3 linked regions of the Alligator mississippiensis genome follow. The main gene of each other region encodes a partner of the protein of the gene in region 3 in a complex. Links are inferred from orthologs where the notes say so. Each region holds a gene or a part of one and is shown on either strand. Other genes may lie near its edges. The genes, in order: USPL1, SENP1 and small ubiquitin-related modifier 3.

Region 1 (3,742 bases), on a different chromosome or scaffold from region 3:
GTGCATGTGTTTGTGTGTGTGCATGCAGGTGTGGCAAACATGCAGAAGTTTATGTGCATTGCCACGTGCACTCTTTCCATATATGTATACCTACATGCACACACATATATATATACACATGTATAAGTGTATATGTAGATATACACACATCCGCCCCCCCCTTACAAATACTCTTTGGCAATCCCTCACAGTTGAGGATGATCCTCCTTCATGAGGCCAATCCAGGATCAACGGACTCTACTGCAGCTGAGGTGTGCATTTCTGTGTGGGTGGGTGGCTCTGGATTCTTGATCCGACCCACAACAGGCTGTTTCTGCTGTTCCTGTTTCTCCCTCTCCAGCTGTTGTGCAGTAGACTCTACCTCCATTTGGGGCGATCCTGGGCCTGGGCCATCACTGTCCAAGAGTTGATGTTGGTGCTGCATTTTTTCGAAGTGGGACCTGAGGACGTCCTTGAAACGCTTTCTCTGCCCTCCTCCTGAACGTGTGCCTGCAATATAAACACCCCCCTCCCATCATTTCTGCAGGACTTCCCTTCTCTCCCCCCGCTGAGACGATGGAGTCTTGGCACCCAACTAGCAGTAGGGCGAGGCCTCGGCATGGGCATGTGCCAGCGACAATGGCGCCTCGACTCCAGCCTCCGGAGCCTGCGCTGCGCTGCGCTGCGCACGCGCGAACGCCCCTATTCCTCCCCCCACTTCGAACAGTTCTCTCTGTCCCCCCCGCCCGCTGTTCTGACGCGCGAGCTCCCCCATTGGCCGCAGCGCCCGAGCTACGGGCGCCGGAAGTGCGTAGGGTTGGGGCGGCCGCAGCGTGAGGCGCGTTGGCTGCCGTCCATTCCGGAGCGCGCTGAGCGGCTCCGGGTGAGGGGCGGGGCGGGGCATGCGCTGTGCTGCTGCGTAGCGCGGGCCGGACTAGGCGGCACCCACGTGCGGGCAGCTGGCCTGGGGCTACGGCCCCCTCCCAGCCCCGCTGAGGGCGGCAGCCGCGTCTCGTTTCAGGGTGGCGGCAGTGGGGGGACATGAGCCGGGGCCGGGGCGCTCGCGGGTGAAGGCGGAGGCCAGAACTGGGCGAGGAGCGGCGAGCAGGTGAGATGCGGGCTCCTGGAGCCGGGTGGGCTGAGGGGCAGGTGCGCGGGGCCGGCTCCGTCGCCTCAAGTGAGTGCGGGCGGGTGCTGACGAGAGACCGGGGCAGCCTCGAGGTGGCTCCCTCCCCACCCTTCAGCCAGGCTCAGGGCATGGGGCAGTTAAACCTTGAATCCCTGTTTGCTGTTGCGACTGCCGCCTTTGCTTGCCGGGGGGGGGGGCAACGGTCAAGGGAAACTTCCAAGGTAAATCTCACTTCGGGCTGTGATGAGCTTTGTAGTTCCCGCCCCTCCTCCTTCCCATTCACTTCAGGGGAAAGCAGTTGGAGAACTGAGGCCAGCCAGCAGGAGTTTGTCCAGCTTGTTTGAGCCATGCAGTTAGTGCAGAGAATTGTTTCTCACTTCCATGTGGTTGATATTTATTAAAACTGGTCAGTAGGACTTTGAATAGGAATTCTTGACTATAAACTCTTTCCTTGTCTGCAAGAGACTCTATAAAAAATCTCCAAGTAGATGTCCTATTTTGTATATTTTGCTTCTGAAATAGATGCTGGCATTTTATTTTTAAGCCAGTAGATTTGACATACATTCTATCAAGCTTTGTCACTTCAGTTTAGAATATTAGTAATTGTCCTATTTTCTGATGAGTTCAGTTAGATTTGAGATGTAAGTTTTGACTTCATAGTTTTAAGAATGCACACTTTTGAAACCCCTTCATTTCTTTTTGATTATTAAAATGCAGGGTCTCTGGATAAGTGTTGGAAGGGTTAGGAGTAGTTCTAGGACCAGGTTTGCAAGAGGGGTATACCTATGCTGGATAGAAAAGGAAAGAGTACAGGGGATTGAAAAGCTGTCCCACAGACTCTACAAATATCTCATGTAGGTTTCTTTCATTTCAGCCTTGTCTCAGAGAGAGACTGTGGGATAAGATATATCCTGTGTTTTAGAATATAGCAGGGCTTAAGTAGTTGTCCCTCTTGGCTACTGCTGAGTACAAAGCTGTTATATCATAGTGACACTGAGAAATTGTCAATAAGTTAAAAAAAAACAAAAAAACAACCCTCTCTGATGTTGCAAAGATATAAATGCCTGAACAGTTCAACTGGTGCCACTTTGCTTCATTTTGTTTTGCCCACTTTGAGGAGCAAAAGTACTGCTGTCTCTGGGATCCCCACTTGTTGGTTTATTCTGTCTATTCTGCACTAAAGGAGTGGTCACTGAATGTTTTCAGCTAAAATTTATTGTACTCTTAAAAGCGCAATAAAATATGGACATACATGGCTGAGGATACTGTTATAAGTAAGTGGTTGTGATTTACTTGGATGTCACAAAATAACATCTTGGGAAAGATGGTGGGGCTACAACACAAGCTTGTGCATTCTGTCCTGTCCAAGTGTTTTCCCTTTGTAAAAGTAGATAGTAAAAGGATTATGACTTGAGTTGAGACATAATCCATTCTGTTCCTCTGTTAAGTCATCCATAAATCAGTATTAATGAAGCCAAAAGATAAATATTGCCTGAAACAATCAAACTAGGTAATACATATTTTTTAATATTCATCAGACATACCAGTTTCAATGGCCAGGGATTAAGGATGCTGACACATGTTCATGTACATGTTAATCGCACCATAAATAGGAATAGTGCCACACATTCAGAGATCTGTGGTGCTATAAAGTAGCAAACCAGCCACAAAGGTAATACATAAAATGTGGACCATTTTTGTGGCTGGTTTGCATGGTACCATGAGTTGAGCATGTGGTATGTGTCCCTACATGAGCTGTGAGGCAAGGCAGACAACCAGTCCAGTTGCAGGCAGCCCCTCAACTCCCTACACTGGTAATCTTGTAAAAGCAATTGATTTGCAAGGTTCCTGTTAAAGTAATGGTGTATTTGGGATTGGTCCTCGATCCAAGCAATTGCCCATCCTGCTATATGTTTGTGGCCTGGTAGGATATGTAGAGTGTTTTTTTTTTTTTTCAGATTGGGGATGAGATACCATGACATTATTTATATGTCTGCCAGTGTTCCAAAAGCCACAGCTTCAGTGTCACGGTTTTGCTGAGCTTCTAAAGTAGGGGTCAGCAATGTTTTTGCAGGGTGCCAAAAACACCTACAGCCTTGACTTCTAAAATGTTAATGTGATGGTAGGGAGTTGCAAGGGGCCGGATCCTTGTTGTGGCAGCATAGCCCCACCCCTTTCTCCAAGGTGTGCATGCCAAACAATGCCTTTGTATGCCACACTTCGGTATGCATGCTAGCTAGGTGTTGCCTACCCCTGTTCTGAAGGGAGATGTAACTAAAAGTTTAGCAGCCAAATAAACAATGATAGATCACTAAATAGTATATACTAGTGAATCGTGTTGCCTGCCTTTTTAATATTGTGCATTTCTGGGGAGGGCAGCAGCAGAAAATTACTTGTCACATGATACACAAAAACCCCTATGGTTTTAACTATATGTAATAATTAGAGGTACACCGATACATTGGTCCAATATCGGATCAGTACCAATATAAAGAAAATTTTCTGCATCAGATATCGGTCCAACGGGGCCGATAATTTGGTGGATAAATGCTCATGCTGCGCGCAACCGCAGCACAGCACTCAGGCAGCCAAAAGAGCAGAGCCAGCAGCGTGGAGAGCTGCCTTCAGCTGGTC
Region 2 (3,742 bases), on a different chromosome or scaffold from region 3:
TTGTCTTGCTCGCTCTCCATGCAGTCCAGCACCCTCTGAAATATCTTCCTGTGAACCGTCTCCCACACTAGATTTGCCCGGCTGTTGCTCCTGCTGGCCCCAACCTGCATCCCCAAATACCGAACCTCTTCATGCACCTGCTGCCCTCCCGTCATGCACTGTACATGCATACTCACGTCCTGGCCAGAGCCCCCTGGTTTGACTCACTAAGAGCTAGAACTGGGGACAGGCTGGAGCTCCCGCGGCTGGGTGCATTTCAGCCGATCAGTCGCCCCATTGAAACCAAGAGGGCGATCGCTGGCGGGATCCAGCTGTGCGCAGCCAGATGCTTTCAATGCTCTGCCCGTCCCCACTCACCTGGCAGCTCCTTCCTTTTCTGGGAAAAGGGGAAGAAGGTGAGGAAAAAGAAAACGGCGGCAAAAGCAAGCGACGCAGAAAGGAAGAGTTTGGACCAAAGGAGTGTGAAGTTCAGGGGAGCCCACATGACCAGAAAGGGCCAGCTCTCCAGCCTGGTATTTATAGACATGAGCTCAGCCCGCTGCAGCAGCTGCCTCTGCCTTCCTGCTGCCTCATTGGCAGATATAAAGGGCACGGCCTTACCTTGGAGGGGTTGAGTTGGATTGCCTTGCAAATTGATTTTAAAGGAACAGGGCCCTATGCCCTATGCTGAAGGCCTCTAGGTGCCAGTCTGCCGGCACAGAAACGCCCTATGCTAGATAGCAACGCATCCTGGCCTGGATCCCCTCCATGGCCAGCAGACAACCATCGCAGGGGTCTACATCCCTTCCACCGCTGCTGCGTGGCGCACGGGGTGAGGGTGGAGCGTGCTGAAAGGGGGTCCTGGCTGCTTTTCCAGGAAGCAGAGCATAGAGCAGCCTCAAGGTTGCTCTAACCAGCACGACCAGTCAGGCAAGGCACAGCTGAAAGTGGCTGAAAGTGCCTCAAACCAGCGGTTCTCGGCCTTTTTTAAACTCGTGACATCCCTGGGCAAACGCCAGCTCTTCGTTTCCACTGTTTCGCCCTCCAGAAAAGCCAAAGAGCAGCGTTTGGTTGCGAAGAACGCAGGAAGCCCAACACGATTTGAACTTTACAGGCTTCTCTTGCAGATCCTATTTGCACACCTAGCAGCGCCAGCACCGCTCGGTGCTTGGCAGCGCCCCTGCAAGGATCTCAAGGCACCCCTAGGTGCCAGGCGCCCCGGTTAAGAGTCCCTTCAGGCAGGAGCACAAGTGCAGGACAAGGGGCCTCTGCACGTGACCAGTTTCAATGAAAACCACTAGTAGAAAAAAAATAAAAAAACATAGTTTTTTATGAAGGGAAAAATGGGTCATCATAGGAAAAAATGAAGGAAAAGTCATTTGCATATATTTATATGTAGAAGGGGCGTGGCCGGTGTTTTTTTCCTGTGCGCCATTTCCGCTTCCGCTGTTGCGGCTTTCACTTCCGGCTGGGAAGGTTCCGCGCGCTGCGGCCGGTTCCGCTTCCGGCGAGAGGCGCCTGAGGGGGTTCGGTTCGGCTCGGCCCGGCCCGGCCCGGCCGCGCCGCTCGCAGGTACGGGCCGCGCCGCGCCCCTCGCTCGCTCGCTCGCTGGCTGCCGGGCTCCTCCGGGGCTCGTCCGGCCTGCTCCTCCTTGGGCCACGGGGATAGGTGGGGTTGCTCCGGTCGCTGTCCGCCCAGAGCTTGGCAGGGAGCTGTGCCCTCGTGCTGCGCGTGGGAGCCTGGGCAGGCTGGTCAGGGGCAGCAGAAGCTTTGAAAACCTTTGATTCTGCTTCAGTTTGCTATCTGGGAAAAGCGAGGGTCTGTTCCGGACCAGAGGTTTTGATGCTGGCGCCGATTCTCACGTTGCGTGTAAGGTGTTTGCAAACGTAGTCACCGTGTCCTTTTTTTTTTTTTTCCCCCTCCCTGCCCCCAGAAGTTGCATCATCCGTGTCCGGGATGTGAGCAGCCTGGAGATGGGTGAGTGAGCGTGTTCCCTCCGTGCCGGGTTGGAGGGTTGCGCTGCCCGACGCGCGAGCCCAGCGGGGAATATCGTTCAGCCGCCGGCGCCCGCTGCGGACCTCGCATCTGCGTAACGTCGCCTAAAGCATCGGTTGAACGAGTGGCTGCCGAGAAACGTCTGATCGACATGTTAGTCTCTCGCGTTTCCTGAAGGAGTAAAATGTGCAGGAACCGACGTCGTGTCTGCCTGCGGTTTCTCTGTCTGTAATTATGGCGTATTGTAAGAACGGGTTTCGTTTGAATGTGCGGTGCTTTTTTTCTGGTGTTCGTTTGCTTTTTTTTTTTCCGCTTACGGTGATGTACGTTGGTAGGATCAGTATCAAAGTGCTGTTGCGGTTTGTCACAGAGACGCAAAGGGCAGGACTGCTAAAAGGGTGTACATTGGTGAGAAATGTGTTGAAGTTCAAGGGATGAAGTGGGTAGGAGTGGAGAACTGAGCACAGGAATATAAGACGATAAAGCACCAGGCGAGGGTGAGATTGAGACGCCTTCAGTTTCTCTCAATAAAGCTTGCATTTCTTCATGTGAGCCTTGCACAGACTCCTCGCTTCCTTGTTCTTAAGAAAGTTTCCTGATATTCATCCCGTTTCACTTCTCCTGGTTCTGTCCCCTGGCACCAGTCTGAAGCTTCCTCTCTCTCCCTGGTGTTTACCTCCTGTTATTAATATGAATATGTCTGTAGTGCCTGGAGGTTTCTCCTGAGATTAGGACCTTTGTGTTTTAGGAGTATGATAAAATAGAAATGAAATGATGGGGAGGAGGGAGCAGAGACCATGAGAGATGCCCAGAGTTTCACAGGAGGTCAGTGACGGAGCCAGGTATAGAACTGAGGGCATTGCACTTGCAGCTCAGTGCTTGACACCATTGTTCATGTCCTGGTGTGTACGTGGTCTTTGGCCATGTCGTTACTTCAGTGTGTAGACGTTAACGGCTTTCTTGCATCTCTCCTTTCCATTATGCTCGAGTGTGTGGGGAGCATCCTGTGGGCGGCCATGGACACTGTCTGTTTCCTTAGATGAGTTTGCTGATCCTATGAGGATGGATGCCGGAGATGCAGCCTTGGCTAACCATGGCTCCACGTTCAAGGCCTTCCCACCATCACAGAGGGCAGTTTTGGGGGATCAGCTTTCGCTGCCTGGAACCAAGGTTTGGGAGCCATTCCTTTTCCCTTCTAGCAATTCAGGCTGCTCATGTGCATTGCCGGGACACACATCCTTGGTGAATCCAACTGGCTCTTAACCTCTTGAGGCATCAGCATCGGCATTTAAATCAAACCCCACGGTTCTGCCTTGATGCTTGCCAAACCCCTTGCCACTGGTTAAATGTGTGGTGTCCCACGGCCTCCTTATGCTGACCAGTTTTCTCCTGCTCTTCCCATCTGTCTGCCAATCTGTTACAAGCTGCTGGGGGGCAGGAACTGTCTGACTTCTTGATATGTTCATGTAGCACCTGGCATAGCATATCTCCAGGGGCTCCCACATAGCAGATGATGCATGGTAGTGGTGCATGGTAGTCCAAATTCAGGCACTTTGCACATTGCAAAATCGTGGTCTTTTTACTGTTTGGACTGTGATGATGCTTGTACTCAAGCCCTGTTCTGCCAAATGTCATTTGAACCTCACTAGCCAAAAGATGACATCTTCTGATAAAGTCCACTATTGCCTCTGAAAACTGATGCCTCTCTGAACCAATTAGTCTCTAAGGTGTCACTTTGCTTTGCCTTCTGCAAAGAGCTTGCAGTCTG
Region 3 (3,742 bases):
TCTAACAAAGGGAACTTACAAAACAACTTTCATAGAAGAGCCTATGAACCCCACTTCATAAATCTACTGGATACAAAAAAAATCATGGACTCAATACAGACACTGGATTCATGACGCATTACAACCTGCCTGATATCTGACTCACCTGGTACCTGCCTGACCTGACCCTTTACATTCTTCCTTCCCTTACTTTGCTGCCTTTGTCTTCCTGATTTCCAACTATTTCCCTTTTCATTGACAGCCTCTTCCTTACCTTGTATTATTACCACTGTAGTGTTTTCCTTTGGCCTTTCCCCCCCTCCCTTCCCTGCTTTACCTTTTGTTTTCCAATTTTACCTAGTTATATTTTCACTGACTTCCTGTTATACTTTTAGTTTCTCTCCTATTTCCCTGGTCTTCAACTATTTCCTTTTTCACTAGAAACATTCACTTGAGTTACCAGCACAGGACAAAGTCAGTGAATAAGTCTCAGCCCAGACCAACAATTCAGGTTACTTCCTCTGCCATTACAAACGTGGGATTTTACTCTTTCTTGAAAAAGGCACAGTCATCCCAGGGCCCACCTTGCCAGGTGCAACCTGCTCAAAATTCTTGCAAGATGAACCCAAGGCATGCAGCAGTCTTTTCTAAAATTCTCTCTAGATGATGACTGCAGATAGAATAACCCAATCCAGACTTGAAGAAAATGATCAGAAGCACAGCACAACAGCTGTACTTGTAGAGCTTAATAAAGCCAATCCAGTGCTCCTGGGTCCTCTTGGTTCCTCCAGTTTAGGAAGTCTTTCTTCCCCCATGGATGGAGCAAGGACGGATGAAGATTTTGGGAAATGAAAGTTCAAAAGCTCACAGAATCCGGGCTTTTGATACTTGCATATCGTCCTACACAAGGACTTTAAGTCCGCAATCTCCACTTGTACGACTGCATCACCTGCTCTGTGCACGTAAGTAGACTGGCCAAAAAGAATCAAGAAAAAAAACCCTACTCTCTGTGAAGTCCAGCCTGTTTATAATATGTATATTAACAAGTTCCTGACCAAGGCCTCTTCACTGCAACATTCTAGCTTATTAAAGCATACGAGTCTGCAAGCAATAGATGGATGTTTTTATTAAAGTTCCCTTTGGTGGCATTATTTTTCAGGTGACCTCCAACAAAAAAAGCACTAAAGAATTCTTCAGACAATGAGTTCTCCGACAGGGATTCAAAGGCAAGTTTCAACCACCAGAGCTTCCAAAAGGATGCTACCAAACAAAGGGCATCCTCTATCATTACGTTTTGGCTGGGATTAAGGCAGAAGAAAGAGGGGAGGTTTAAAAAAAAAAAAAAAAAAGAACAATGTACTTTCTCAGGGGGGAAAGGGAGAGAGTATGTGGATGTCCTGAAAAAAACAAATCTCCCCATCCCTCCCAGAGGGAGAATAAACTGCGGGAAGGGAGGAGGGGAATTATTTTCTTTTATGGAAGTATTCAATTCACTCCCCAGTTCTCCTCAGTCACTGGGTAGTGAAAAGGCTGTATGGAGACGGATTGCTTTTGAATTTGGGGGAGGGGATTATTTTGTTGTGTTCATATTTTAATGCGTTTCTTCGCTTGTAAGTTGCCCTGAGCCCTTATGTGGAGGGTGGGTAAGAAAGAAAGGAAGTGCTATGCCTGAGTTGTGGCCTTGTTGGCTAGGACTTGTCCACGTTAGGCCGTACTGCACTGTGGCCAGCCAGCAAGAGGCTTTCCTACACCTTGCTGAGCTGCAGCACATGCAAGGAAAAGCAGTGGCAGAGCACAGGTGGCTGCCGGGGTGGTGGCCTGGTCCTAGCACCAGCCCATCTCATCTCAGAGCCAAGCTGGGCCATTCTGGCTCCCTGCCACAAACCCCTGCCGACACTGGCTTAAACTTTTCATCCTTTTCACTCCACCAAATGTAAGTTACTGTTAGACTGTTTTCTTTTACAGATGAGGACACCTCATCAGCCAAGTGCCCAGCGAAGGAAGAAATGACGGTTCAAAGTGGGCTCTCAGAAGGAATGATGAAGGTTTCAGGATGGGGCAGAGCCCCTCCATCACCCCAACAAGGAGCACTGCCGGGCACGATACCACGCACCACCTACTTAAGAACAACTGTTCGGATAGTAACACGCACGGTCTGCAGCATCAAGTTCGGGGATCTCTGCAGATCACAACAGCAGGAAGATTTAACCTAACCCTGGAAAGGCGGGAGCCCCATCCCTTGCTCTTCTCATTCAAGAGTAAGCTTTCTGAAAGATGACACCTGCTCCATTGATCTCCACGAGGTCCACCGCCAAGTACCATTTAATTCAACTCAAGAGTGCTACCTCGGCAGCCCCCTGATGCCAGCTTCGAGCAATGCCCCCTGGCCTCCACGGACTCCTCTAATTCGCACAGAACTGAAGGTTTCAGGGTTAGTCTGAGGCAAAGCAGCACCAACAGCCATCACTGCATGGGAGACCCATAACGAAGACTCAAGCCTGACACCGTGCAGCTGCTCATCCCTCAAGGCTGACCCGGGCTCTGCAGGACCACGAGTGTTGGTGCCCTAGAGCAGCAGGGCAGGAAGGGAGCTGCACGGGCCATCTCCAATTGCCCGGGGGAGGCAGCCAGGAGCCCCCCCCCGAGCTGCGGAGCCGGGCCCGTGACTGCGAGGTCGGGACACCTGCTCCTGCGCGCGCTTCCCGCGCCCGCTGCCCCGCGGGGCTCCGGCTCCTGCGGCCTGGGCGGGCCGGGGGCCGCGGACGCAGAGGGGAGCGAAGCGGCCGGCCCGGCCCAAAGGCCCTAACGGCCCCAACGGCCGTTCGAACGCGGCGCCGCCCCGCCCCGCCCCCCGCGGCCCGGCGGGACCCGCCTCCCGGGTGGGCCCGCGCGGCCCCGGGGCAGGGAGGAGCCGGGGCCGCCCGCGCCGTTACCTTGGGCTTCTCCTCGGCCATGGCGCCGGCGCTGAGGGGGGCGATGGCGCTCGCGGCTCCCGCTTCTCTCCCGCCGCAGCCGCTGGCGAGAGCGCGCGTCACCCCTCCCCCACACCCAAATCCCCGGGCCCTGATTGGAGCCGGCGGGGCCACGTGGGGTCGGGGCGCGCTCACGAGGCGCGCTCGCGAGCCAGCTGCCCGGCGGGAGCGCGCCCGGGCGGGGGCGGGGGCAGGGGCAGGTAGCGCGGGGAAGTGCGTCAGCGCGGGGCCGGAAGCGGCGCTGCGGCGGCCGGCGCAGCTGGGTGGGGGAGGGGCGGCAACTGGCACGTCCCCTCCCCCCACCGCGGCCTTTCCGGCGCGCGTGTATCTGCCACTTCCTCCCCGGTAGGGCCTGGTGGCCTCAACCCGTACGAGCTAGGCACCGAGCTGGCCTGCAGGGCGGCACCAGCGCGCGCCGGGCAGGCTCATGGCGGGCACGCGGCACCTCGCGTAGCCCGGAGTTGTCGCAGCCTGCAGGGGCCCTTTCAGTCTTGCACGCGGCGGACGCGGTGTGTTGCGCCTGCGGGCAGAGTCGGGGCAGCCGCTGGGTGCTGTTAAGACTCCCCTGTTGTGTGTGCGTCACACCTAAAGGCCTAGATCCCCGTCGGCCAGCATGGCCCTCTGCCCCACTGCCGCTGGTCCTAAACGCAGATGAGGCCTTCCAAAAGTCCCATCAGTGCCAGAGCCCCGATGCTGACACCTGAGCTGCTGGCTCCTACCATAAGCTTGCAGGGAGCATCTGGCTAACGAGGCTTCTGATCTCAGCCTGCACCCTCAGTTCTTGGCCGTCT

What was found.
Region 1: the proteins of small ubiquitin-related modifier 3 (region 3) and USPL1 are in contact, whole or in part, in a crystal structure (PDB 7ZJU), measured with the Homo sapiens proteins. The link is inferred for Alligator mississippiensis from reciprocal best matches to the Homo sapiens genes SUMO3 and USPL1. Residues at the interface, in NP_008867.2 of Homo sapiens: Gln24, Asp25, Gly26, Ser27, Val28, Arg58, Arg60, Gly63, Gln64, Pro65, Ile66, Asn67, Asp70, Leu75, Phe86, Gln87, Gln89, Thr90, Gly91; in NP_005791.3 of Homo sapiens: Ala234, Cys236, Trp237, Pro321, Gln322, Leu323, Arg324, Met330, Glu331, Ser332, Val334, Phe335, Leu339, Tyr368, Thr378, Thr380, His393, Phe394, Gly395, Pro396, Asn398, Arg407, His421, Val423, Tyr451, Asn454, Asn455, His456, Phe457, His493.
Region 2: the proteins of small ubiquitin-related modifier 3 (region 3) and SENP1 are in contact, whole or in part, in a crystal structure (PDB 6NNQ), measured with the Homo sapiens proteins. The link is inferred for Alligator mississippiensis from reciprocal best matches to the Homo sapiens genes SUMO3 and SENP1. Residues at the interface, in NP_008867.2 of Homo sapiens: Gln24, Ser53, Arg55, Gln56, Arg58, Arg60, Asp62, Gly63, Pro65, Asn67, Thr69, Asp70, Gln74, Glu76, Asp84, Phe86, Gln87, Gln88, Gln89, Thr90, Gly91, Gly92; in NP_001254523.1 of Homo sapiens: Gln440, Asp441, Glu446, Arg449, Leu450, Thr451, Lys455, Trp465, Leu466, Asn467, Asp468, Glu469, Asn494, Thr495, Phe496, Lys500, Arg511, Trp512, Lys514, Lys515, His529, Gly531, Val532, His533, Trp534, Gln597, Gly600, Ser601, Asp602, Cys603.

The regions. Positions count from the first base shown.
Region 1 is NC_081824.1:425,964,656-425,968,397, reverse strand, and holds the start of USPL1 (SUMO-specific isopeptidase USPL1), read left to right. Parts: upstream 1-892; 5' UTR 893-1,087; intron 1,088-3,742. UniProt on the Homo sapiens protein: SUMO-specific isopeptidase involved in protein desumoylation. Specifically binds SUMO proteins with a higher affinity for SUMO2 and SUMO3 which it cleaves more efficiently. Also able to process full-length SUMO proteins to their mature forms.
Region 2 is NC_081838.1:9,123,109-9,126,850, reverse strand, and holds the start of SENP1 (sentrin-specific protease 1), read left to right. Parts: upstream 1-1,460; 5' UTR 1,461-1,551; intron 1,552-1,912; 5' UTR 1,913-1,952; coding exon 1,953-1,956; exon of another isoform or gene 1,957-2,127; intron 2,128-3,013; coding exon 3,014-3,144; intron 3,145-3,742. Other genes in the region: PFKM (ATP-dependent 6-phosphofructokinase, muscle type), read right to left, coding at 358-526. UniProt on the Homo sapiens protein: Protease that catalyzes two essential functions in the SUMO pathway.
Region 3 is NC_081830.1:33,436,036-33,439,777, forward strand, and holds the start of small ubiquitin-related modifier 3, read right to left. Parts: upstream 3,028-3,742; 5' UTR 2,934-3,027; coding exon 2,913-2,933; intron 1-2,912. UniProt on the Homo sapiens protein: Ubiquitin-like protein which can be covalently attached to target lysines either as a monomer or as a lysine-linked polymer. Does not seem to be involved in protein degradation and may function as an antagonist of ubiquitin in the degradation process.